3 linked regions of the Pelodiscus sinensis genome follow. The protein of the gene in region 1 purifies or fractionates together with the protein of each later gene. This does not show direct contact. Links are inferred from orthologs where the notes say so. Each region holds a gene or a part of one and is shown in the gene's direction. Other genes may lie near its edges.

The links.
Region 2: the proteins of PRKAG3 (region 1) and PFDN1 purify together in Homo sapiens (affinity purification with mass spectrometry; 3 studies listed by BioGRID and IntAct, counting the BioPlex papers as one, with this or other methods). This does not show direct contact. The link is inferred for Pelodiscus sinensis from reciprocal best matches to the Homo sapiens genes PRKAG3 and PFDN1.
Region 3: the proteins of PRKAG3 (region 1) and PIP4P2 purify together in Homo sapiens (affinity purification with mass spectrometry; 3 studies listed by BioGRID and IntAct, with this or other methods). This does not show direct contact. The link is inferred for Pelodiscus sinensis from reciprocal best matches to the Homo sapiens genes PRKAG3 and PIP4P2.

Annotation. Positions count from the first base shown.
Region 1 is NC_134717.1:773,772-781,004, reverse strand, and holds the start of PRKAG3 (5'-AMP-activated protein kinase subunit gamma-3), read left to right. Parts: upstream 1-4,092; 5' UTR 4,093-4,696; coding exon 4,697-4,729; intron 4,730-7,233. UniProt on the Homo sapiens protein: AMP/ATP-binding subunit of AMP-activated protein kinase (AMPK), an energy sensor protein kinase that plays a key role in regulating cellular energy metabolism.
Region 2 is NC_134727.1:2,154,158-2,162,096, forward strand, and holds the start of PFDN1 (prefoldin subunit 1), read left to right. Parts: upstream 1-4,641; 5' UTR 4,642-4,734; coding exon 4,735-4,767; intron 4,768-5,679; coding exon 5,680-5,846; intron 5,847-7,939. UniProt on the Homo sapiens protein: Binds specifically to cytosolic chaperonin (c-CPN) and transfers target proteins to it. Binds to nascent polypeptide chain and promotes folding in an environment in which there are many competing pathways for nonnative proteins.
Region 3 is NC_134712.1:42,802,102-42,810,361, forward strand, and holds the start of PIP4P2 (type 2 phosphatidylinositol 4,5-bisphosphate 4-phosphatase), read left to right. Parts: upstream 1-5,204; 5' UTR 5,205-5,347; coding exon 5,348-5,453; intron 5,454-8,260. UniProt on the Homo sapiens protein: Catalyzes the hydrolysis of phosphatidylinositol-4,5-bisphosphate (PtdIns-4,5-P2) to phosphatidylinositol-4-phosphate (PtdIns-4-P).

The DNA of each region.
Region 1 (7,233 bases):
GCCGGCTCGGCTTGGATCTTGTCTCCTGCCATGAGTGGCGCAGACGGTCTCTTGCCGCTGTTCCCTGCTCAGCCTCGTGCCTCGGCGTGGCTGGCGCGAGAGCCTGGCGGCCCTGGCCTGCGTTCGAGTGCCCCGCGGGGCCGCCTTCGCTCGGGCACCAGGGCTGCAGCTGCCCAGGGCCCCGCCGGGAGGCGCCACCTTCTCGCCAGAGCTTTTTAGCTGCCTTTTCCAAGGAGCTGGATTAAAGTTTCACACCCTCTGCTGCTCTCGCTGCGCTGTGTGGCTCCTGCGCTCGGCCCGGGGCAGCGGCTCCTGCTCCTTTCCCCGGCTCAGCCGAGGGGCGCACGGGGGGAGCCTGCCCCACGCCCCTTTGCTCCCCGTCTTCCCGCACTCCCTGCCAGGAGGCGCCTGCTGGAGCTGGGCCCGAGCAGCCCTGTTCCCGCGATGAGGCAGGGCGGGGGCAGCTCTGTGCAGGGAGCCGGCCCAGGGCTGGGTGTCTGCATTTACCTGACAGCAGGACAGGCCCCTCTGTGCTTTCCGGTGCAGCCTTGGCTGGGCTGTGGGGCTGGGAGGGGAGGTGCAGCCCTTGGTGGCTGTGACCCCATGGCGGAAAGGACTTAACCCTTTGCTCCCCCGAGCTTGGCCTATCCCAGCTCCCCAAGGGCAGCATCTGTCCCAGCGGCTGCCTGGACGTGGTACAGATACCGGGTGGCCCCTGCAGAGCTGTGCGCCCCAGGCCTGACAGCTGTTGGGTGCCAGCAGGGAGCAGGTGGAGGGAGGAGGCAGCCTCTGCTGTGCTGTGAGCCCAGGCCCCCGGGCGGGCTCGGCTGGGGACGCCTTAAGCGCTGTGTACTCGAGCCGTGTCGCTGGCCCCTAGCGCCCACCCCAGCCCATTGGCCCTACGTGCGGTGGGCACCACCCCCAGCTGGCCCTGCCCCCCTCACTCTCCAGCACAAGGGCCCCCTCTCCCTGCCCAGGCCTACTAATGAAACTGCCTGGCCTGTGTGTTCCCCTCGACTCTGCCCAGGGGAGGGGAGGGGCAACCCCTTCCTGGTGCTCACCACCCACACCGTGCCACTCGGCTTACCCTGCCTGGCAGGAGAGGGCCACTGCTCTTGTTGCTCTGCAGGCCCCTGGGATCTCAGCAGGTGGGGCCTGGCACAGGGCGTGTACAGCCCCTGCTGCAGCCAGCAGTGTTCACTGGTGGAACTCCCTGCTGAGGGCAGTGTGAAGGCTGGAGGTCCTGCAAGGGCTGGACTCTGGGGGGGCCAGAAGCTGGGGCCACAGGGTAGGAGGGGTTAATCTCGTTCCCTCCCAGGCACCTGCCCTTGGCTGCTGATGGAGCCAGGGCTCTGGGTGAGCTGGCCCCCTGCTCTGACCTGCGGGGGCTCCTCCTACGCCCCCTGCAAGTGAGGGACCTGAATCTGAAATCTGGAAAAACTCTTTGTTCCAACGGCAGCGGGATCCGCCCGCCCAGCCTGGGGCCAGTGGAGTTCTCTGCAGCTGTGGCAGTGAGTCCCCTTGGCAGCAGCCGGGGGCCGCGGGTGGGCCCTTTGGCACCAGCCTGGCCCCCTTAGCTCCCCCCTGCTCCACGCGCTGTCCATACTGGCCTTGGAGCTCCCCTTAGCCCCCGGCCTGCCTGCGGGAGCCCCAGGCTGGCTGCTGGGTGAAAGCCGGGGGGGTCCTTTGCCCCCCAGGCATTGCCATGTTGAACTCTCCCATCCCAGCAGGGGGGGGCACGGTGCTGCCAGCGGAGCAGCCCCTGGGTAGTGCCCTCTGGCAGGTCCCAAAGCTGCTGGAAATCCCCTGTGCCCCCAGGCAGCGCTTTTCCCGCTTGGCTCCGGGCCCTGTTTGTGCGGGGAGCCGTGGGCAGGGCCCAGGAGCCCAGTGAGGCCCCCGCACCGCGTCTGGGTCACTGCCATGGGAGAATGAGGGCGCCCGCAGCCTTCTGGCGCCAGCTCTAGAGCCTCCTACACTGCGGCTACGTCTGCACTGGCCCCCTTCTCCGGAAATGCTTAAAACGGAAGTTTTCCATTAGAAGTATTTCCGGAAAAAGCGCGTCTACGTTGGCAGGATGCCTTTCTGGAAGCACTTTCCCGGAAGAGCGTCCGTGCCCATGGAGCCGCGCTTTTCCGCAAAAAATCCCCAATCGTCATTTTCGCCATCGGGGCTTTTTTGCGGAAAACAGTCCTGTGCTGTCTACACTGGCCCTTTTCTGGACCAGTTTTCCGGAAAAGGACTTTTGCCCGACAGGGAGCAGCAGAGTTTTTCCGGAAAAGCCCTGCCGATTTTACAGGAGATGGCCAGTGCTTTTGTGGCAATTCAAGGGGCCAGTGTAGACACAGCCTAAGGGGCTAGAGGTCCCAGGTTCAAATCCCCCCCGGGCAGTTACATCAGCATCCCGGCTGGGTGCAGGTGGCACCGCACCCCTAGCAATGCAGCCCCGACCTGGCCTCTGCTGCCTTAGAGCCCTGCCCGCCCCCCATGGGAGCCCTCCCCTGCCAGCGGAGCGGGGCTCCTGGGCCAGGCTTGCTGCAAATGTAGAGCTGCGGTTGCACCAAGGCTCCATGTGCCCTGCTGCTGCAGAGCGGGGTGAACCTGTGGGGGGGGGGGGTGTAATATGTGGGTGCAGCTCCCTTGGCAGTCCCATCCCCTGTGTTCCCCTCTGCTCCCCTTTCCCGGCCGGGGCCCCGCCAAACCCCAATCCGCCCTTGGGCCCAGCAGCCAAAGGGGTTTAGCCCGATCTCCTCTCCCCCCCCCCCCCCCATCTGGAACAGGAGCCAGGTGGCCTGGGCCCTACCCACTAGCCCTCACTGCCTCCTGACGCTAGAAGGAGGTGCCCCGCCCCCCACCAGCTGCTCCCTGCACGCGGGCAGCAGCTAGGGCGCGTCGCTGGGGTAGAGGCGCGTGTAGCCGGGAGCGGCCGCGCCCTGCGGTCCCTGCCCCGGGACACTCGCCCGGTTTGCAGCCTTGGGGCCGGGCCTCCCCGCCAGCCCAGGCGCAGACACGGCGGCCTCCGGCCCGCCACGTTCAGGGTGTTTGGAGCCTTCCAAAAATAGCCGGCGCGCCTCGCCAAGCGAGCCCGGGGGGAGGCGAAGAGCCGAAACCGGGAGGGAAGGTTCCCTGCAGGAGCGAGGCGGGCGCGTCTCTCGGGCACACGAGCTGGGGAACGCGGGCCCCGGGCCCCTCCCCCGGTTGCACCCGCACCCCTGTCCCCTGCGAGCCGGGCGCTTGGAGAGCCCCAGGCGCCGCCCCGCTGAGCGCAGAGCGCACAGAGCAGCGGTTCCGCACAAAGGTAGAAACAGAGCCCTGCCCGCAGCCCTGCGCTTCCCCTCTCCCCTCCCGGGGCCGGGCCGGGCGCCCCGCTGCGCTGAGCAGCAGGGCGGCCGGGCGGAGCTGGAAGATCTCGATCCGCCCAGGCTCGAGCCCTGGGGCGACGGGGGCCGTGCTGGGAGCCGGGCCGGGCGCTCTGGCCAGGGATGTGCCGGTCCGGGAGGGGGTAATCGCGCCGGGCCCAGCGCTCCCTGCAGCCGGCCCGTGCGGGGCGCCCTAGCAGGTGTCGGGCTGTGCGGGGGGAGGCTGGGTTCCCTGTTAGGAGCGTGAGTCACGCCTGCGGCATCCCCAGCGGCAGTGCGTGAGGGGAGCGGGGCCGGCCGGGGCCAGGCAGCCATGCTCAGTGGGCGGCCGCTGGGAGCCAGGCGTGCGGCACGGCGGGAGCGTGGCACCGGGCGCCAGGGCAGCGGCCCTGCGGGTCCGGCCTGACCTTCCCCCCCACCCCGGGAAGCTGGTCTCTCCCGAGCAACACTACGATAACAACCCAGCTCACGGCCCCCCACAATAACAACCCGGCACCCCCTGCGACCCTACAATAACAACCCAGCTCATATGGCCCCCACAACAACCCTGCACCCCCTGCGACCCTACAATAACAACCCGGCACCCCCCGCGACCCTACAATAACAACCCAGCTCATATGGCCTCAACAATAACCCAGCACCCCCCCCCGCGACCCTACAATAACAACCCAGCACCCCCTGCGACCGTACAATAACAACTCAGCTCACGTGGCCCCCCCCACCATAACAACCCAGCACCCCCCTGCGACCCTATAACTACTCCCCTCCCCACAACCACAGCCCAGCACACACCCCCCCGCCTCCATCTATCCCCAGACCCACGTGCGCTGCCTGACCCATTGGGCCCCACAGAGGAGCGGGACAGGGTGTATCTGCCACTGGACCCACCGCCCTTGGGGCGAGACCCCTTCGCGCTCCCCCAGCCCGTGCCAGGCCGGGGAAAGCCGGGGCGCGAAGAGCGAGCGTGCGGGGGAAGCGGCAGCCGCAGTCCCGGTGCGGGACCAGCTGTGCTGGAGGCGCGCCCCTTCCCGGCCCTTGGCCCCGTCCGTCCGCCCGCGGGCCCAGCGCCAGCCCCGTGCGTCCCCAGCCCGCCCCGTTCCCGGCGGCCGCTCCCGCGCCTGGGCCAGGGGCCGGTCTCTATTTCAGGCGGCTCCCCGTGCCCGTCAGCTCCGGAGCGGGGCCGCCCCGACAGGTGCCCGCGCCCGGCCGGCTCCAGAGAGTCTCCGCCGAGCGCCGGGCAGGCTGCTCCCGTCCCAGCTGTGCGGGCGCCAGCCTGGCACCAGTCGCGGGGCCGGGCCGAGGCAGGCCCAGAATAGCAGCGCGGCGCGGCGCGGGGCGGCATGGAGCAGCGCCCAGCCCCGGCGGGGCCGCAGGTAGGGAGCGAGCCGGGGGGCCGGTGCAGAGCTCGGCAGGGGGCTGCCTGGGGCCCTGCCGCCGCCGCGGGGCGAGCACGGGCCGCTCCCTGTCCCAAACTGCGCCCCCCGCCCGCTCTGCGGGGCCGGCTGCCAGCCCGTCTCGGCTCCGTTCCGCCGCCCTGGGACGAAAGCGCAGCCGGCAGGAACCTGACCCCGCCTGCGCCCTGCCGGGGCGCGCCGGGCGCCGTGTTATTGTAGGGTTGTCCGGCCGCGGCGCGCTGCGCGGGGGCCTGAGCTGGGGGGGAGGGGGCAGGCTGGTTTGGGATCGCAGGGTGGCCAGCAGGAGCGGGCTGCCAGGCTGCTTTGTTATTGTAGAATAGTGATAGAAATGGAGCCGGGTTAGTCTGGGGGAGCTGAAGCAAAATGCAGGACAATGTAGCACTTTACAGACTAACAAGATGGTTTATTAGATGATGAGCTTTCGTGGGCCAGACCCACTTCCTCAGTCTTCCACTATTTGATCTGAGGAAGTGGGTCTGGCCCACGAAAGCTCATCATCTAATAAACCATCTTGTTAGTCTTTAAAGTGCTACATTGTCCTGCATTTTGCTTCAAGTCATTTAGAGAGTGTCCTTTCTGGTTAAAGTGGCAAGAAACTGTTTTCTCTTTGTGATCTTGTCTGATATCTGTTTTGTGGGCATTAATCCTTTGGCGAAGTGTCTGAGATGTTTATCCAATGTACATAGCAGACGGACACTTTCGGCACATGATAGCATAGATTATATTTCTGGATGCGCAGGAATATGTGTTCTTGATCTTATAACTCACTTGGTTGGGTCCAATAATGGTATCGGCAGAATGAATATGTGGACAAAGCTGGCAACGGGGTTTGTTGCAAGGGAAGGTACCAGGCTTGGTATTAGTGTGGTATGTCCTGTGGTGGTTGGTAAGAATCATCTTGAGGTTAGGTGGTTGTCTATAGGAGACTATGGGTCTGTCTCCCAGAGCCTCTTTGAGTATGGTATCCTGTTCCAATACAGGCTGTAGTTTATTGATAATGTGTTGGACAGGTTTAAGTTGGGAGCTGTAGGTGATGACAAGTGGTGTTCTATTGTTGGTTTTCTTGGGTCTGTCTTGAAGTAGATGGTTTCTAGGTATTTGTCTGGCTCTTTCAATTTGCTTTTTTATTTCTCCGGGTGGGTAGTTGAGGTTTATAAATGCTTGGTAGAGATCCTGAAGCTTCTGGTCTCTGTCAGTGGGATTAGAGCAGATGCGGTTGTCTCTGTCAGTGGGATGTTGGTATATAGAGCTTCTACATCCATGGTGGCAAGGATGGTATTATTGGGGAGGTTATCGATGTTTTGTAGTTTCCTTAGGAAGTCAGTAGTGTCACCATGGATGTAGAAGCTCTATATACCAACATCCCACATGAAGACGGATTACAAGCAATTAGAAACACTATCCCAGAGGACACCACTGCCAACCTGATAGCAGACCTGTGTAACTTTGTTCTCACCCACAATTATTTCCAGTTTGAGAACAACTTATACCTCCAGATCAGCGGCACAGCCATGGGTACACGCATGGCCCCACAGTATGCTAACATCTTTATGGCTGACCTAGAACAACGTTTCCTCAACTCCCGTCCCCTTTCACCCCTCCTCTACCTACGGTACATCGATGACATCTTTATGATCTGGACGCATGGCCAAGAAACACTGGAGATATTCCACAGAGATTTCAACAACCTACACCCCACCATCAACCTCAGCCTGGACCATTCTACACGAGAGATCCACTTCCTGGACACCACCGTACAAATCAACAATGGAAAATTAGACACCACTCTCTACAGAAAACCCACCGACTCATACAGTTACCTACATGCTTCCAGCTCCCATCCAGAACACACCACACGATCCATCGTCTATAGCCAAGCCCTTCGATACAACCGCATCCGGTGGAATAGAGGAAGTTTATTGCCTCTCCAGGATACAGCACAGCACAGATGGAATCTGGTCACAGAGCTGGGCTAGGATGCCTCAGGCCCCCTTGAGATGGGGGAGACTGGGCCCCTAAACTCCAGCCCCTTTTCCTAGGCTGTCTCCTCCATGCTCACAGACAGCAACTAACCTCACCCTCTTCCAGCCCTGCCCCCCAGCCAGGGCAGCATCCACCTTCCTTTGTTCCTCTCCATGGGGGGTGTCTGGTTCAACAAGTTTGGCATTACCTTTGCATAGTGAGGTTTTCCTTGCTGGGTCTTGCTCCAGACAGCAGAGGTCACCACAGCCCAGCAAGCACCCCCACTACGTCACAGATGGGACGTCCGGGGTGCCCAGGTTTATGGATCTTGGGAAGCAGATAGAACAATCCTGGTCGGGGGTCAGGTGTTTCTGTGTGGATTTGTTCCCGAGTAGCTGTGGGGAGGCTTGTAAGGAGACAGTGTAGTTTCTTTTGGTATTCCAAGGTGGGATCAGAGGGGAGAGGTTTGTAAAATGTGGTATTCGAGAGTTATTGTTATT
Region 2 (7,939 bases), on another chromosome or scaffold:
TGCATTGTAGCAGAGGGACAGGCAGCTGAAGCTGGTGGGGACTCGAGCCACAGGGGTCAGCATCTTAGAAAGCTGGGGCGGAGATTGGGGAGGTCAGAGGTGGGATTGGCAGCTGCGGGTAGACAGCTTACAGCTCACAGCAGTTTACAGGGAGCGTGTGTGCTCGCTTGCAGTGTTTGACGCATGACTATGCGCATTATTCGCTCGTTCATTCTCTCACCTTTCCCAGGTCTCCCTGGGGCCTCTTTCACATTTGCTCATCTCTCCACTTGTGTCACCTGCGTCCTGCTCCAGAGCATTCATCATCTGGATCAACAGCACGAGATGCACCGAGGTGCACAGGGTGCTCCAGGTGTCCCTTCCTGCTGCAGCCGTAACCATGGACCATGGTATGAAATCCTGCCCCTGTTGGATATTTCAGCGCCCGCATCTCAGCATCTACAGATGCGTGGGTCTTTGAGGTGTACAAGGCCTTCTGGGAAAGAAAAGCTGCATCTGCCTTGAGCTCGTTACAGAGATCTCCCTTGGCTGCCAGCACAGGGGTGAGAGAGGTACTAGAGACCAGCTGCTGGCATCTAGCTCACAGTGGCTACGTCTAGACTGGCGTGATTTTCCGGAAATGCTTTTAACGGAAAAGTTTTCTGTTAAAAGCATTTTTGGAACAAAGCATCTAGATTGGCACATCGCCATTTTCACAATCGGGGCTTTTTTGTGGAAAACAAATCTGAGCTGTCTACACTGGCCCTTTTGCACCAAAGTTTCGCGCAAAAGGGACTTTTGCCTGAACGGGAGCAGCATAGTATTTCCGCAAGAAGCACTGATTTCTTACAGCAGGAAGTCAGTGCTTTTGCGGAAATTCAAGTGGCCAGTGTAGACAGCTGGCAAGTTTTTCCGGAAAAGTGGCTGATTTTCTGGAAAAACTGGCCAATCTAGACACAGCCAGTAAGTGTAGTTGATGCCGTGCTAAAAGCACATGATGCCACGTCCACATTAGGGCACTCGCCATCGCTCTCAGCTGCCCTGAAGGCAGAAAGGGGGGAGGACAGAGTCCCATCCAAACCGTAGTGTGGACAGAAGCCCTATGGAATTCATACAGTAGGCCAGGGCTGGCCAACCCACGGCTCGCAAGCTGCATGCGGCTCTTTCCCCCCACTTCAAGTGTGGCTCAGGAAGCCTCCCCCATGGCTCACAAGGCTAACCCTGTGCCCCTAAAAATGGCCCCCGTCCCCTGTTTCTCTGTGCTCACTGCCACCCAGAGTTCTGTTTAAAGGCGCAGTGTCCCCCCCCCTTTTTTTTTGCTCGACAACTTCCCCCCCCTGGCTCTTTGTGCTATATCCCCAACTATTGTGGCTCTTTGCCTTTAATGGGTTGGCTACCCCTACACTAGGCCATGTCTACACAGCACAAATAACCAGATATAAACTAGGCTGTTTTAACCCAGTAATGGCCCAACCTCGTTATGATTTATCCTTCACTGTGTGGCCAGAAAGAAAATATCATAGCCGTGGTATAGGCCACCGTATCTCTCAGGGTGGGAGGATGTGGTATTCTCCCTTATGCGGACAGAAGGGGACATGTTATAATGTGGCTGGACTACATATATATCCAGGAGAGAGCTGGATGTGTTTCTGTGTGTGACTGTAGGCTGGGGTTCCCTGGGATGGTTGGGGCACGGCTCAGCAGCCCTGGGGCTCACTTCTGGTTTATGTCTTACGTTTCCAAAAGCTCTTTTGTAAAGCAAGTCAGGCTCTGCCTGGATGAGGGGCCCCATGTCACAGCAAGGTCTTCTTAATAATCATCAGTCTGCCTCTGTCGTTAGCGATAGTTCTGACTTTGTGCCTTAGTTACCCATTTTCCTCTGGCCATAGGGATCTCCTCACTCTCACTAATGGGTGCGGAGACAAACAGCCCACACCCGCATGCCATCCTGCGCCGTGTCTGCCACACGGCTTTAGATCACCCAAATCAATACCAAATGCTCCCACTACGGCATGTGAAAGGGCGGTTTGCTTAAACCAACACAGCAAATCCAGCGCCAGCATTCTGGCTAGGAGGAATAACTCACTTCCTTGCTCTGCACATTTTTCTAGAGGTGACCTCACCTGGTCACCATTAGCAAAAAGGAATTTGGTTGCTAACAACAGTCACACAAAGCCGCTCCAGTCCTCAGCCCAGGAGCCTATTTTGCGAGCTTTTTGCATTGCACACCCCCTTTCGGGAATTCAAACTGAGAGTCAGCCTGAGGGTTGTGTCATTCTAGGATCCCTGTGTTTGGTTCTGCTCAGCATGTGACTCCCCCTAAGCTGGAAGAGAGCAACCCTTTCACAACGCATTCGCTTGTGCTCCAGTGCTCATCCCACGCACTGCAGCAGCCCTGCTGAATGAGACATGCTTTGGATCAGCACTGGGCCACCCTGGAGCTCGTGGATTGAAGGGGACAGTTCCTGGGACTCCTCGCTCTGATGTACGGGGCAGGCTTTTCAGTTCTTTAAAATCCCACTTGTATGCACCTGTCCTGCTAGTGCAAGGTGCTGGGCTGAGAACCCTGCACGGGACTGGAACAGTGGGCAGCCGAAGGCAGCTCGCCAGCCCTGCCATGCCAATGAACCCGGACTCTGACCTGGGAGGGCTCCGTTAGGTAGCGTTCCTATGACTCTTTCAGTCCTTGGCTCTCTGCTGAGGTTCCAATAAGACTGGCTATTTGTCCCTACTGTAGCTATGGTTTCTGTGATGAGGACACTTGTCCACAGGATGCAGGATTGAGACCTCCCTATTTCTTCAAATTAAGAAGCAGTTGGAGGCTGCCTGCAACGGAGGGGCAGAAATCCTTTCAATGAAATTGGAAAGCAACACATTTTAAATGGACAAAGGGAAATGCATTTTAATATAATGTCTCCTTAAACGGCTGTATATAGTTAGGTACGTTTCCAAAAAGGCTGGGAGAGGCTTTGTAAAAAGAACAACCCTTTCTATGAATGTCTGCAATGACAGTAAATTAGAGGAGCTGCCAATCCTCATGTTTCAGGCTGTAAGCTCATCACTGCCTGCTCAGGAATGAATTTTGCTTGGTGGTGTAGTATTGCACAAATGGATTACAGGGCGTTTATATCTTCTCTTGCATGGGGTATAAGAACCTGGGTGGTCAGGCACTGGCCAATGTTTCCATTAAAACCAACAGAAGCCACAGGTTCTTAGCACTTCTCAAGATTAGCCCTATGATGCTTTACGGCTGTGTCTAGACTGGCCAGTTTTTCCAGAAAATCAGCCGCTTTTCCGGAAAAACTTGCCAGCTGTCTACACTGGCCGCTTGAATTTCCGCAAAAGCACTGACTTCCTACTGTAAGAAATTAGTGCTTTTTGCGGAAATACTATGCTGCTCCCGCTTGGGCAAAAGTCTCTTTTGCGCAAAACTTTTCCAGTGTAGACAGCTCAGATTTGTTTTCCGCAAAAAAGCCCCGATCGCGAAAATGGCGATTGGGGCTTTTTTGCGGAAAAGCGCGTCTAGATTGGCCACGGACGCTCTTCCGCAAAAAGTGGTTTTGCGGAAAAGCGTCCATGCCAATCTAGACGCTCTTTTCCGAAAATGCTTTTAACGGAAAACTTTTCCGTTAAAAGCATTTCCGGAAAATCATGCCAGTCTAGACATAGCCTACATGTTTAAAGCACTGCACCCACATCAACAAATTAATCTGATCTAACATTACAAACCGTTCCAATTAAATCCTACTTTCCACATTGCATTTGATCACTACAAGTGCTGTGGGATTTTATGCTTCCTCGCTTGAGGCTCAGACTCTGGGAAACAAAACGGCTCCATAACTTTAATTCCAATGCGAATTAAAACCCACAACAGTCACTAGTGAACTGATCTGAATCCTGGTGGACAATGCTCTCTCAATAACAGCTTCTCCTTTCCCTTTGATTCACCCTCCCGTCATTCCTTGTGAAATCTTCCAGTGTAATTACACCAGGCCCTACCCTCACTGACGTCAATGGCATGCTCCTGTTGACTTTCACGGGAACCGGAATAATTCCTGGGATGCCCAGCTCCTCAGGCAAGGACTTTATCTTCATATTGGCTGATAAAATGCCAAACACACCTGTTATGTAATAATGCTAATTAATAACTACATGTACAGTCACGTGATACTGTTTCTGGTCCCTGGTTGGCAACCTATAATTACAGGCTACATGTCCACCTATATAGTGTGATGAGCTATCCATTATGTTTATGTGGCCTCTTGATCGATTTGCAACAGTGCAGACTTCCAGCCACTACAATTCTGCAGTGGCCTGGGCTGGTATGTACTGGCACCACTTTCTATGGGATGGAGTTAGAGCTGCTCCACTGTGTGTCAAAAGCCCCATATTGCAGATTCTAATGGTGATTCTCCGTTAGCTCCAATGGCCTGAAGTGGATCTGGGTGGTATCCCTGCTGCAGTGCAATGGGGGGGGGGGGGGGGTTGTCTTGCTGGTAGGGTTGACAACCCTCCTGGATTGCCTTGGAGTCTACATGGTTGTGTGCAAGGCCGCCCCTTGGGGGGATGCAAAGCTTCTGTGTGCAAGGCTGCCCCTGGGGTGGTGCAAGGCTGCCCCTCCCCCTCCCCCTTCCGCTCCCGGGTTGCTGGTCACAGCACGTGCTGCTGGGTGCTGAGCCAGCCGCTCTTGTTGCTGCGCACGCGCACTGGAGCAATTCCCGCTCCGTTGAATGCGCGTGCGCAGAGTGCGGCAACATGGCGGCGCCCGTGGACCTGGAGCTGAAGAAGGTACCGGCCGGGCCCGCCTGGGGCGCTGGGGGCGGCGCTCGGGGGCTGCAGCCGGAGGCCCCGGGGCCGCCCTTGCTGGGTGTCCCGAGCCTGGCCCGGGCAAACAGCGGGGCCCTGCCCCTCCCCCCGCCCGCGGCCCGGCCCGAGTCTCTCGGGGGGGCCCTGGCCCGTGTCGCTGGGGGGGCCTGGCCCGTGTCGCGGGGGGGGGCCCTGGCCCTGGCCCGTGTCGCGGGAGGGGGGGCCTGGCCCGTGTCGCTGGGGGGGGACCCTGGCCCTGGCCCGTGTCGCTGGGGGGGGCCCTGGCCCTGGCCCGTGTCGCGGGAGGGGGGGCCTGGCCCGTGTCGCTGGGGGGGGACCCTGGCCCTGGCCCGTGTCGCTGGGGGGGGGCCCTGGCCCTGGCCCGTGTCGCTGGGGGGGGGCCCTGGCCCTGGCCCGTGTCGCTGGGGGGGGGGCCCTGGCCCTGGCCCGTGTCGCTGGGGGGGGCCCTGGCCCTGGCCCGTGTCGCTGGGGGGGGCCCTGGCCCTGGCCCGTGTCGCTGGGGGGGGGGCCCTGGCCCTGGCCCGTGTCGCTGGGGGGGGGGCCCTGGCCCTGGCCCGTGTCGCTGGGGGGGGCCCTGGCCCTGGCCCTGGCCCGTGTCGCGGGAGGGGGGGCCTGGCCCTGGCCCTGGCCCGTGTCGCGGGAGGGGGGGCCTGGCCCTGGCCCGTGTCGCGGGGGGGGGCCCTGGCCCTGGCCCGTGTCGCTGGGGGGGGCCCTGGCCCTGGCCCTGGCCTTGGCCCATATCTCTGGGGGCCCTTCCCTTGCAAGCCCCTGCTGCTCCAAACGGAAACAGCAGCCCAACGTGCTATGGCCATAGTGCTCGAGAGCATCCTTTCCCAAGCCGTAACGGGCCCTCTCTCCCCCCCCCCCCATTAGGCTTTTACTGAACTGCAGGCCAAAGTTATCGACACGCAGCAAAAGGTGAAGCTGGCAGATATACAAATTGAACAACTCAACAGGACAAAAAAGCACGCACACCTCACGGATGCGGAGATTATGACTCTGGTGGATGAGACTCGCATGTATGAAGGTGTAGGGAGAATGTGAGTAATTTTTACTGATGGAGAAGGTTACGGCTACACTCTGCCCCATTGCCAATAAAACCTGCTGTAATTAATTGCATGTAGATTATGCCACTTTGAGAGATTTCTTTCTACAGTCAATGAAGCAATACCAGGTTTGTAAATATTAGATGCCTTCTGTATTACATCTTACCTGCTATACCTCTACTCTTCTTTTTCAAAACATACCTTCTTTGTATGAGAATGGGAAACTGTCGTATCCAGAGGTGGCAGTTAGAATAGTGGTGATCCTGCACAGGGGAAATTCACTCTTGGCCATCTGCAGGGCTTTTCTATCTCCTGTAAGTTGTTGAATACAGGGACAGAGGCTCTCTCATTGTCACTTATTTGTTTGAAAAGCATTCTGGCTTTTTTGTATCATACTGTGTTTGTTTAGGTGTCATCTTATCCCATTTTTAATTATCATTTCAATGGATCTTCGGTAAGTGAGACTTTAGTAATGGAGATTGCCTGTCTCCTAGAACTGGAAGGGACCTTGCAAGGTCATCGAGTCCAGTCCCCTGCCTTCACAGCAGGACCAAGTACCATCCCTGATGAATTTTTGTCCCAAATCCCTAAATGGCCTTTGCAAGGATTGAACTCACAACTCTGGGTTTAGCAGGCCAATGCTCAAACCACTGAGCTATCCCTCCCCCCTTACTGCACTGTGTTTCTCAGGATCAACCTTATAGGTACAATGTTTGCTACCTACCAGTTTTCAGACACAATTTATTTCAGTGAGTGATTACATATTTTTGTTTGTTGGTTTTTCTCATGTGAACTATAATCACATTTGGGACTTCATGAAAGTTTATCGATTCCACCAGCAGAGTTTGTATTCCTCATGAATGCTGATGACAAAATGTAGATTTGCAAGAAGTTATAATTAGCCTGTTCAACTTTATGCCTCATGAAATATGTATTTGTCCCTAAAAATTGTGGGTCTCCTAATTTAATGCACTCGTTCAGGGGCTGTGGTTGTACAAAGGAACTAAAATGGTGACTTCTTTAAGTTCTGTGAAAGGTGTTCTCTGGACTCTTTAGAGACCCAGGTGTAGTGAAATTGATACCAAAGAATTGTTTGTTCAGGTGCACTCTGGCATATATTAATTTTAAAACAATACTAGTAAAGAAGGAAAATGTAATCTTTGCACATAGGTTTCTTTTGAAGACAGTCCAATCTTAAACTAAAGCTACTATCGGGGTAGCCGAGTTAGTCTGTACAGAAAAAACAACAAATAGTCTGGTATAACTTTTATAAAGTGCTACCAGACAATTTGTTGTTTTTAAAGCTACTCTGTATTTTGATGTCTCGGGTCTGGCACATCAAAATTTGATGGAATGCTAATGATGCTTTCCTATTGTGATTACGATACCCTCTTGTAAAAGGCTACATGAACTAGTCTTTAAGTTAATAGCACATTCTTAATGGATAAGTGTTTGTGCTTAATGCTCTGAAAATTAAAGACAGACCAAGGTTTGGGAGTACTAAGGTTTTTCTTTCTGGTATTGTATCATAGTATCGACAAATTGCCACTTGAAGGGGTGTTCTGTGTCTCTCTTCTAGGGGTCCAGTATACTGTATGTACTGTCTCTTTGTGTCCTGTAAACTGCGAGTAAGCACATTATTCATGCCGCTGAATTGAATTTTGTGGTGTTATATGGAGGTCGTATTGACAGGCACCTTCAAAGGAAATTAATTTCAATCCCTTCCAATGAGGCAGAGAAGTGAATGATGCAGCCTGTAGGCAGATCAAAGTCATAGAGTTTAAGGCCAGAACAGACTACCAGATCCATCTAGTCTGTCCTCCTGTATGTCATAAGTCACTAACCCATCTAGCAGGCAAAAACTACATGCAACAATCAAAACTAGACCAAAATATTACAGCCACAGAAGAGTAATAGGCCGCAGGCAGAAATAGGAAAAAGTGAGGCGCACCAATGTCAGAATCCCCTGCATTGCAAGGAATTAAGTGAGATATACTTGGATAATCCTGGCATGTGATCTGCAGGAGAAGACAAATCCCCACCCTGGTTACCTCACTCATGATGATCAATTAGACCAGGGCTACTCA
Region 3 (8,260 bases), on another chromosome or scaffold:
CAAGGCGTCACTCCTCCTCAGACGCAATCAGCTTTGGGCTCCCAGCGCCAACTGTGCCTCACCTCCCAGTCACTCTCCCCGCCCGACTTCTGCACGCAACCAGAGGCTCTGCCTCCCAGCCTGGGACTCCCTCTGGTTGTGTGCAGAAGCCGGGTGGGGGTGGGAGGAGTGGCTGGAACTCCAGCCACTCCCCCTGCCTGGCTTCTGCACACAACCACAGGGAGTGGGGCTGCAATCGGTGCTGGGAGCCTGTGGTTGTGTGCAGAAGGCGGGCGAGGGCAGTGGCTGGGATTCCCAGCCACTCCCCCCGCCCCTGCCAGGCTTTTGCATGCTACCACAGGCTCCCAGCGCCGCTTGTGGGCCCGCCTCCCAGCCACTCCTCCTGCCCCCGCCAGGTTTCTGTCTGGCACCCAGCCAGAAAAACAGAAAATACCGGACATTGCACAGTTTTTTTTACCTGACAGAGGGTGCAAAAACTGGACTGTCTGGTAGAATACCGGACACCTGGCAACCCTAAACAGTACCCAATATATATAAAAGAGAAACCTCAGGAATAGCAAATGCTAAGAATCCACTGGACCCACATTCTATTTCCTCAGCTTCCAGAGCTGGTAGTTTTACAGGGAGGAGTTTCAGCCTTCACTAGTAGCCTCATCAAGTTGTTTCTTGCTTTCTTGGGCTCACTTGTGAGCTCAGATGCTAGGGTAGGTCTTCCTGTGCACTGAATGAGGTAAGGGTCTTGTGGAAAAAATAGCATTTGATCATTGTTATGTCGCACCCCCATAATCTATATGGAAAGATGCTTTTGAATATGAATATGCCTAACTCAAATATTCTTTAGGTAAAATAATTAATGTAAAATATTTTAACATTATAATCTGCAGAATGTGCATATTCTATTTGTGTGCATGTATCATTCCTGTATTTGAAGTTAGAAATATGACGCATAGAGATGTGTAAAGTTAACCAGTTAATGGATGAGATGGATTTATCTGGGGTTTTGGTCCAACGCAGGCTGTGCACCTGGCTGCTGTGTCAAGTCCCTTTGCTTGACCCTTCCCAGAGCTGAGGTGATTTCAGTGTCTGTGTCGCTCTGCTCTGGGTTGTGATCTCAACTCATTACCGACTCTGGGGGAAACCAGAATTTCTGGCCCAGCAGGTTGGAGTGATGGGATGCTCCAGAGGGCAGGTAGGCAGACTTAGTGGTATAATCAGCGCATAAGGTGACAGTCTCAATGGGATCTTTGTGACTAAACCCAGCACAGTAATATAATTAAAGGGTGTTCTGTAATATATGTGCATAAGGGAGCTGAATTATCTATTTGTAGGAACCTTAAATACGGCACTCTCTATCTCTTGAGAGGCTTGACCTTGCAACTTAGTTAATTCAAAAGAATGTAGTTTCTGTATAATCTCTCAATACTTCATAATGTATAGGATCAACTTGCTGGACACCATTTGGAACTATGTATTACCTGAGTCAATGAAAACACCATAAGGGCATAGGGGTGCATTGCAGTAGATCCCATTGCCTGAATGAGATCTAAATGTGTAAATCCGCATGGACTTGTGGTAAACCTGTGGTTACTTCCATAAAATTAATTTAAAATAATGAAAAATAGGAAAAATTCAACAAACAAATTATTTGCTGGGAATTATTAGCTTAGTACTCCAATTTGTTGTTTAAGAGTACAGAAATTCTAGTAATTGTCACCCTCATTCAAAATTAAAGTAGTCTTAATTTTGACTGTAGTTTAATTCATTTCCGGAGTGTATGAAGGACAAGTCTACACTACAAAATTAAGTCAATCTATGTTACATTGATTTTCAGCTAATGTAGTAATTAAACTGCTTTTATATGTCCACACCTGTGTTGGTGGTGTTCATCCTTACTAGGAGCACGTCTTCACTACCTCCTGGATTGATGGGCAGCAATTGATCCATTGGAGGGGGGGGGGTCAATTTATCGTGTCTAATGGACCGCTGAGTGCTATCATGTTGACTCTGGTACTCCATCAGAATGAGAAGCATAGCTGGAGTTGACAAGAGATTGTCAGCTGTTGATTTACTATGGTGATGATTCCATAGTGGGTCTAAATACATCAACTTCAGCTACAATATTCATGTAGCTGAAGTTGCGTAAATTAATTCGACAGCCCATGGTAGTGTAGACTCAGTGTGGATCATTATGGGACAGACTTTGAAAGGCAGTAATATTTAATGTATGCAATGCATTGTCTGCACTTGAACTGTGTCGACCTAACTACATTGACTTAAGCTCTATGCTTCTCAACTTAATTCTGTAGTATAGATCAGGGGTCACCTAAACCAAATTAAGGCTATTTTAATTCCGAATTACAGAGTCCACACAAAAATTTAATGTGGATTAACTACACCATGTCAAATTTACATCTCTCAGTTAATCTGCATTTTTTTTTCTGGATGTTCTTGCATAGCAAATCCTTTATGATTGAAAGGAGCTGTGATTGTGTGTTACTTTTATATTTACTTAACTAATAATTATTTAGACACCGATCATTCTCAGGTATGGGTCAGTTTAATGAGATGCTTAACTACAATAATTCTTGGTCATATGCTCAGGGTTCAACAGATTAACATCTGAATTGTGGTATAGCTTTTCCCTTTGGGCAACTGGCAGTGATATTCATGTTTGTAAGTCTTCCTCTGAGGCATGGGACAATGCAGTAGATGGGTCTCACACAATCAATTTCTTGTCACTGCAGAGCAGTGGGTACTGGTGAACTTAATCATGCCTATCTTTTTCTCTTTTTATTCATCTTTCTACTAGCTATTGTATCTTTCACAGTACAGCAAAAATAGGGGTGTGGCTGGAAATGTTGGGTCCTTTACTAAAAATCCAACAGAGAATATACCTGCATATTTGTTGAAAAACTCTGTACTTGCCAACAAGGCCATGGTAGGAAACTGCGCTGGAGGTACATTTCAACTACAAATACTAAAAACCTATTACATCTTACAACCCCAACCAGAGTTGTGGTTAAGCAGCACATTAGCACAGATCCTCAAAGGTATTTAGGCATCCAACCAATGGGAATTAGGCATCTAAATGCCTTTCAGGATCTGGGCCTTTGAGTTTTAACAGTCCTGGCAAGAATTATTTAGCTTTAAAGTTTCCCTCCTGCGAAGTCAGTTATAGCATTTCCAGAGAGCACAGGGGCTTGAGATGACAAGACAGCACTTGCTGGATGAGGGAAGTACTTGGCCTTCAGACTGGTTCCTGGCCAATATGCAATAAACAACCAGGTGCCCTATCATGTATTATTCCTCACAAGGCACCTTTACAGATGGTCAAAAGTTAGAATTTCTATTCTGCAGGAAATGTCAGTATTTCAAAATTATTTTTCACCCTGAATCAAAATGATTAGTTGAAATTTCCATCCTGAAGTATTAATTTCGGAAATGTCAAAATGATCTTATTGAAATAATAAGGTTGAAATATCTTGTTATATCTGGATTGTTTAATTACATTTTAGAGTTGGCTATCATATCATATTAACAAATCAAAATGATCGATTCAAAACACGTCATCCTTATTGAAACTAAATATTTCACCCTTAGCTAACTGAAAATGTTTGGATAACTTCCCCATCTACAATTTTGACAAAATCCTGTGAAATGTTTCTATTTCCTTGAGTCAGCATTTTCTAGTGGAAAACTTTCAGCTTGTTTTTTTGCTGTCGGGTTTGGTTTGTGGTTTGTTGTTGTTGTTTTTGCCCAGCTCTAAGTAATATATCTTATAAAATAAAAGTAAGAGGGAAGGAGTCTGACTAATGAAATCATAGTATTTGCATCCAACTTCACAGTTCAGGATCAGGACTTATTATCCTGTTCTTACATAAATGTAGGAACGTTCTCCCAATAACACAATTTCAGGAAGTGCAGTTGTCCTAGATAACCACACTTCTGGGATGGTTGATGACACTTGGCAATTGGCCTAATGCTCTGCAGCATGTCATTATCCAGAATAACTAGATAACTTATGTTATCACTTGCATGCCATACATTAGGAGGGCATGGGAATCTCTAATTTATAGGTAATGTATCTAGATTACAGTGTGACAAGCATATGTCTCTTTGCAATTTAGGGTGAAAATACAATAGGGAAAGTTCTTCTGCTGGGATTTCCAGCTGGTGCCTTAATGGAATTTCAGGCAAAGAGAGTTTTAAGTGGTGCCTTGTGTCCTCAGAGAGTTCACTGACACTAGGAGAACCCTCCTCACATGAGCAGTAGACTCAAATGACAAAAAGTGCATGAATTTCCTTATGCATAAATAAAGCGGCAATAAAAGTCACTGATTTGTCATCTTTATAAACACAGCAGTATTTACAATTGCAGGGGAGAAACATCTGCCTCCTCCTCAGGGTTTTGAAAGAGGCAATTGAAAAAATTGCAACAGTAAGGCCATCTACAACTTGGGTAAACACCCGTTGCTTTTTGTTGTTTACCACATCTGACATGTCTTAATCTATTTTATTTTTAATAAAGTGATTTTTCCATGGTCTTCCTGGTCTGTAATTTTGTACAGATACCCCAATGAAAAGTATCATATAAAAACTTTGAGAGTGTCTGAGCTAGAGGGAGGCACACCAGGTCAAACCACTAGCAAAAAAAGCAGAAAGTAAAGAGAGAAAATGTTATATTTCCTCCTTTTATTAATAGCTTGCAGATGAAAAAGCAAAATGATCCCCTCTCTTTATCTCTCCCTGCTAATGGTGCCCACAAACAATTCTGGAATGAAAATCTGACTTATAATATTGCAGGAACAATGTGGGTAAAGTGCTATATTTTACTGGACCAATGCAAGAGACAGTGACTCTTGACACTATACTGAGAGGACAGATGTAGTAAGCAAGGGTGGATGGGGGTGTACATACCCCCACCGTGCCAGGGCTTCCCTCCCTACTGCATTTGTGCCCCAGGCAACTACAGGTGGTGCTCTCTCTCCTGCTCATATCCCATTTCCTTGCGTGAGGAAAGCCTGGACACGAACCTCTCCGCATTAACTGCCCCGGAAAACAAAAACAGCTGCAACACGAGTTATCCCCCCCCCCCCAACTCCGGCAGGGGCTGCAGAGAGAGGAAGCTCTGTCCTTCCCCATCCCCGCCCTATTGCTTGTGACATAGGGAGGGCCAGTTTGTGCTCCCCCCCCCACTTTCCAGGTCCCAGTCCCTCCCCCCGCTTCTCGCGCTGCTGGCCGCGCTCCCCTCCTCCCCCTCGCTCCAGTGCCTTGTGACACGCTCACACGCCGGGCGCGCGAGGAAAGGCTCTTCCCCGGGTTCAGCCGGCCCTGCTGCCGCATAGTCATGGCTGCTGACGGGGTGGACGAGCGCTCCCCTCTGCTGTCCGCGCCCAGCTCCGGCAATGTCACCCCTACCGCGCCGCCCTATTTGCCAGAGAGCAGCCCCAAAGGTAAGTGCCCACTGCCCGGCCCGCAGCCTCCCTTCCCAACCTGCGCCGGGAGAGCGAGAAGGTGGCTGGCTGGGCAGGCGCATCTTGCAGAGCTGGTGGGTCCCGCAGCTTGGCCTGGCCCTGCAGGGCTTTCTCGGCGTGCCGGGGAGACCGGGGTATTTTCCTGGCGGGGGGCAGCGTGGCAAGGGCAGCCCGATGCGTTTGTCGCAGCAGCAGTAGCCTTCGGTGCATTGTTACCGGCGGCGGCGGCGAGTCCAACGTGCAGACCCTAACGCGCCTCGCTCCGAAACTGCTGCTTGGCCTAGGCAGAGGCAGGATGTGTTTGGTGCACACATTGTTCCCATGTCCTTGAGAAGCTGTTGCTCAAAAAAACAAGCAATGCAAACCACGCAGGCTGTCTAGTCCGGCGTGGAAAGCCGCCCCCTCGAATTGGGGGTTCCCTGTTCGTACAACCCACGAGCAAGACATTCTTGTACCCCCCCGGTCAGCTCTCAGTAATTATACTGATCTTTGAGTAAAGTATCTGGGTGGGATAGTGCATATTTAATTAGCCTTTTGGTGCTGGTTACTGTTACTTTTCACTAACGTGTGCACAACAAACTTCTTTTGGAGCTGACAGCACCTTTATCTTTTGCTTGATTTGCGTTAAGAGGGAAGAGCGCTGGCATTTTTAGGCTCTGAGGAAATCACGTCTGATTGTGTGTGCCTGATTGTTGGTAGCCGCTCTTGATTGCAGTGGCTTGCCTTGAGGAGGGGGAAGGGTCGTTGTTGGGCCTTGAGACTAGCAGGAATGTATATAGTTTAGTGAACAATAGGCTGAAGGAGGAAAGGAATAAATGACAGTTTTTAATGTTTAACTATTTAACTAATTACACAGGATTTTACATCCCTAATAGAGAGCAGCGCTCTCTACACTAGCATCTATATTGAATAAAGCGACTAACACATGTCTTTGCAAGACATGCAAAAAAGGCAAGTTTGATACAATAAATCATTGACTTGTGAATGTGGGATCCAGATTAATGCTGTGGCATTAAACTCAGTGAAAATTGGCCTGTTGTAAAGGTTGTCTGTTCAGTAAAAGGAGGTTAATTTTTACTGAAGAAAGTAATTTAGATGTGATGATCGGAATGGCATTAAGTTAGGGCTAAAATTAAAAATAATTTGAGTCTATGATCTACAAAACATATTGGTATCGATTTTTTTTAAAGTAGTTTAACCTCTTAAATGTCAGAAAAAGCTCAGACTGTCTAAACTAAATAAGATTAGTTCAGCTTTATTAGAAGCTTTTAAAATATGAAGTTCCAATCCTGCTCTGGCTGGTTTTAATAGGAGCATATGGGTCTCTGATTTTACTGGTTTTGTTACAAATTAAGATCTCCAGTTTTCATGTACAGATTAAACAATTTATACATCTAAACCAGAAAGTGATTTATGTGTGAATACACTGTAGATAGGAGTACTAAAGAAGGTGGACAAATGTTACAGGTGAGCAGATATATACATTTGTATAATCTTTACATTGTCACAGAATCTGAGCTGGGTATGAAAATGTAGCACTGCTATGCTCTTGGTTAACATTAACCATGATCTGGCATTTTTAATTACACAATTTAGTAACACAGGCCTCAAAACAGAGGTTATGAAGATTGGATATTTTTTCTGTGGGATCTAATTATGCAGGGTTTCCTTCACTTCTTATATTTATAGCCTCCTTAGCTTTAGAGTATATTGGTTTTCAGACATTTTGAATTCTCATATGTACAGGTTGAACATGTGTAATCGGGGATTCCCTGTTCCAGTAACATCCATCATCTGGCAGGACCATGGATGTAGGACCAACAAGTCCTGGTGGAGGGCTGGTGGCTGGGCTCCCTGCAGCTGGGCTGCCCAGTGTGCTGCATCTGAGCAGCCAGGCAACAACCCAGTGGGGCTGCCTGGTGGGGCCAGACTAGCACACCACAGCAGGGGTCCCTGGCAGGACCAGGAGCATAGCGGGGTGGGCAAGGGGCCAGGAGCGTAGCAGGGCTGCCCGGTGGGGCAAGGAGCCCGGCGTGCCATAGTGAAAATTTGTAAATACTCATCCCACAGAAAAGATGCAGAATCCATGTGTTAATAGGGTCCTTAAGCATTTTATTGGGCTAAATATGTATGACAGATGGTCTGTAAAAGTCACCTACACATTAGAGCACATAAGCCATACTAGCAAAATAAAATAAAGGATTAGTGAAAATGTGCTTGTTTACAGTATACTAGCAGATGAGACCCGTCCTTGACCAGGCAGAGTCATTTTGCATAGATTACACTTATAGGAAAGTTCAAGAAATTCAATAGAATAGAATTTTTTATTAATGTGCTTGCAAAAGGGAAGTAAAAGAACAGTTTTAAATTTGTAGGATTTCAATTTCAAACATTATTCATTTTATTGAATAATTACCATACATTGTAAATTTGAATCAGGAACTCGCTAAGCTTCCATTACTCTTTCTGTAACTAATTTGAATTATTTTGTGATTTGTAACAGTAAAAATGTTTTGCACTAAAATGACAGTGGAATAGGTTACTTGATTTTAATTTTGTTTGCACATATTTTATTAACTCTAATCAGAATAGTCATGACTTTTTTCCAATTAAAAAAAATTATTTAAACCTTTCACCAAGCATATTCTGGTATAAACAGTAGTGCATTCAGCTAATTTAAGTGGCAGGATTGTTTATGCAAAATTTGGTGTCTGTAGGTAATCAGGAAGTATGACTTTATTTTGCACAAACAAATCCACAAACAAACTCTTCAAAATATATAACAG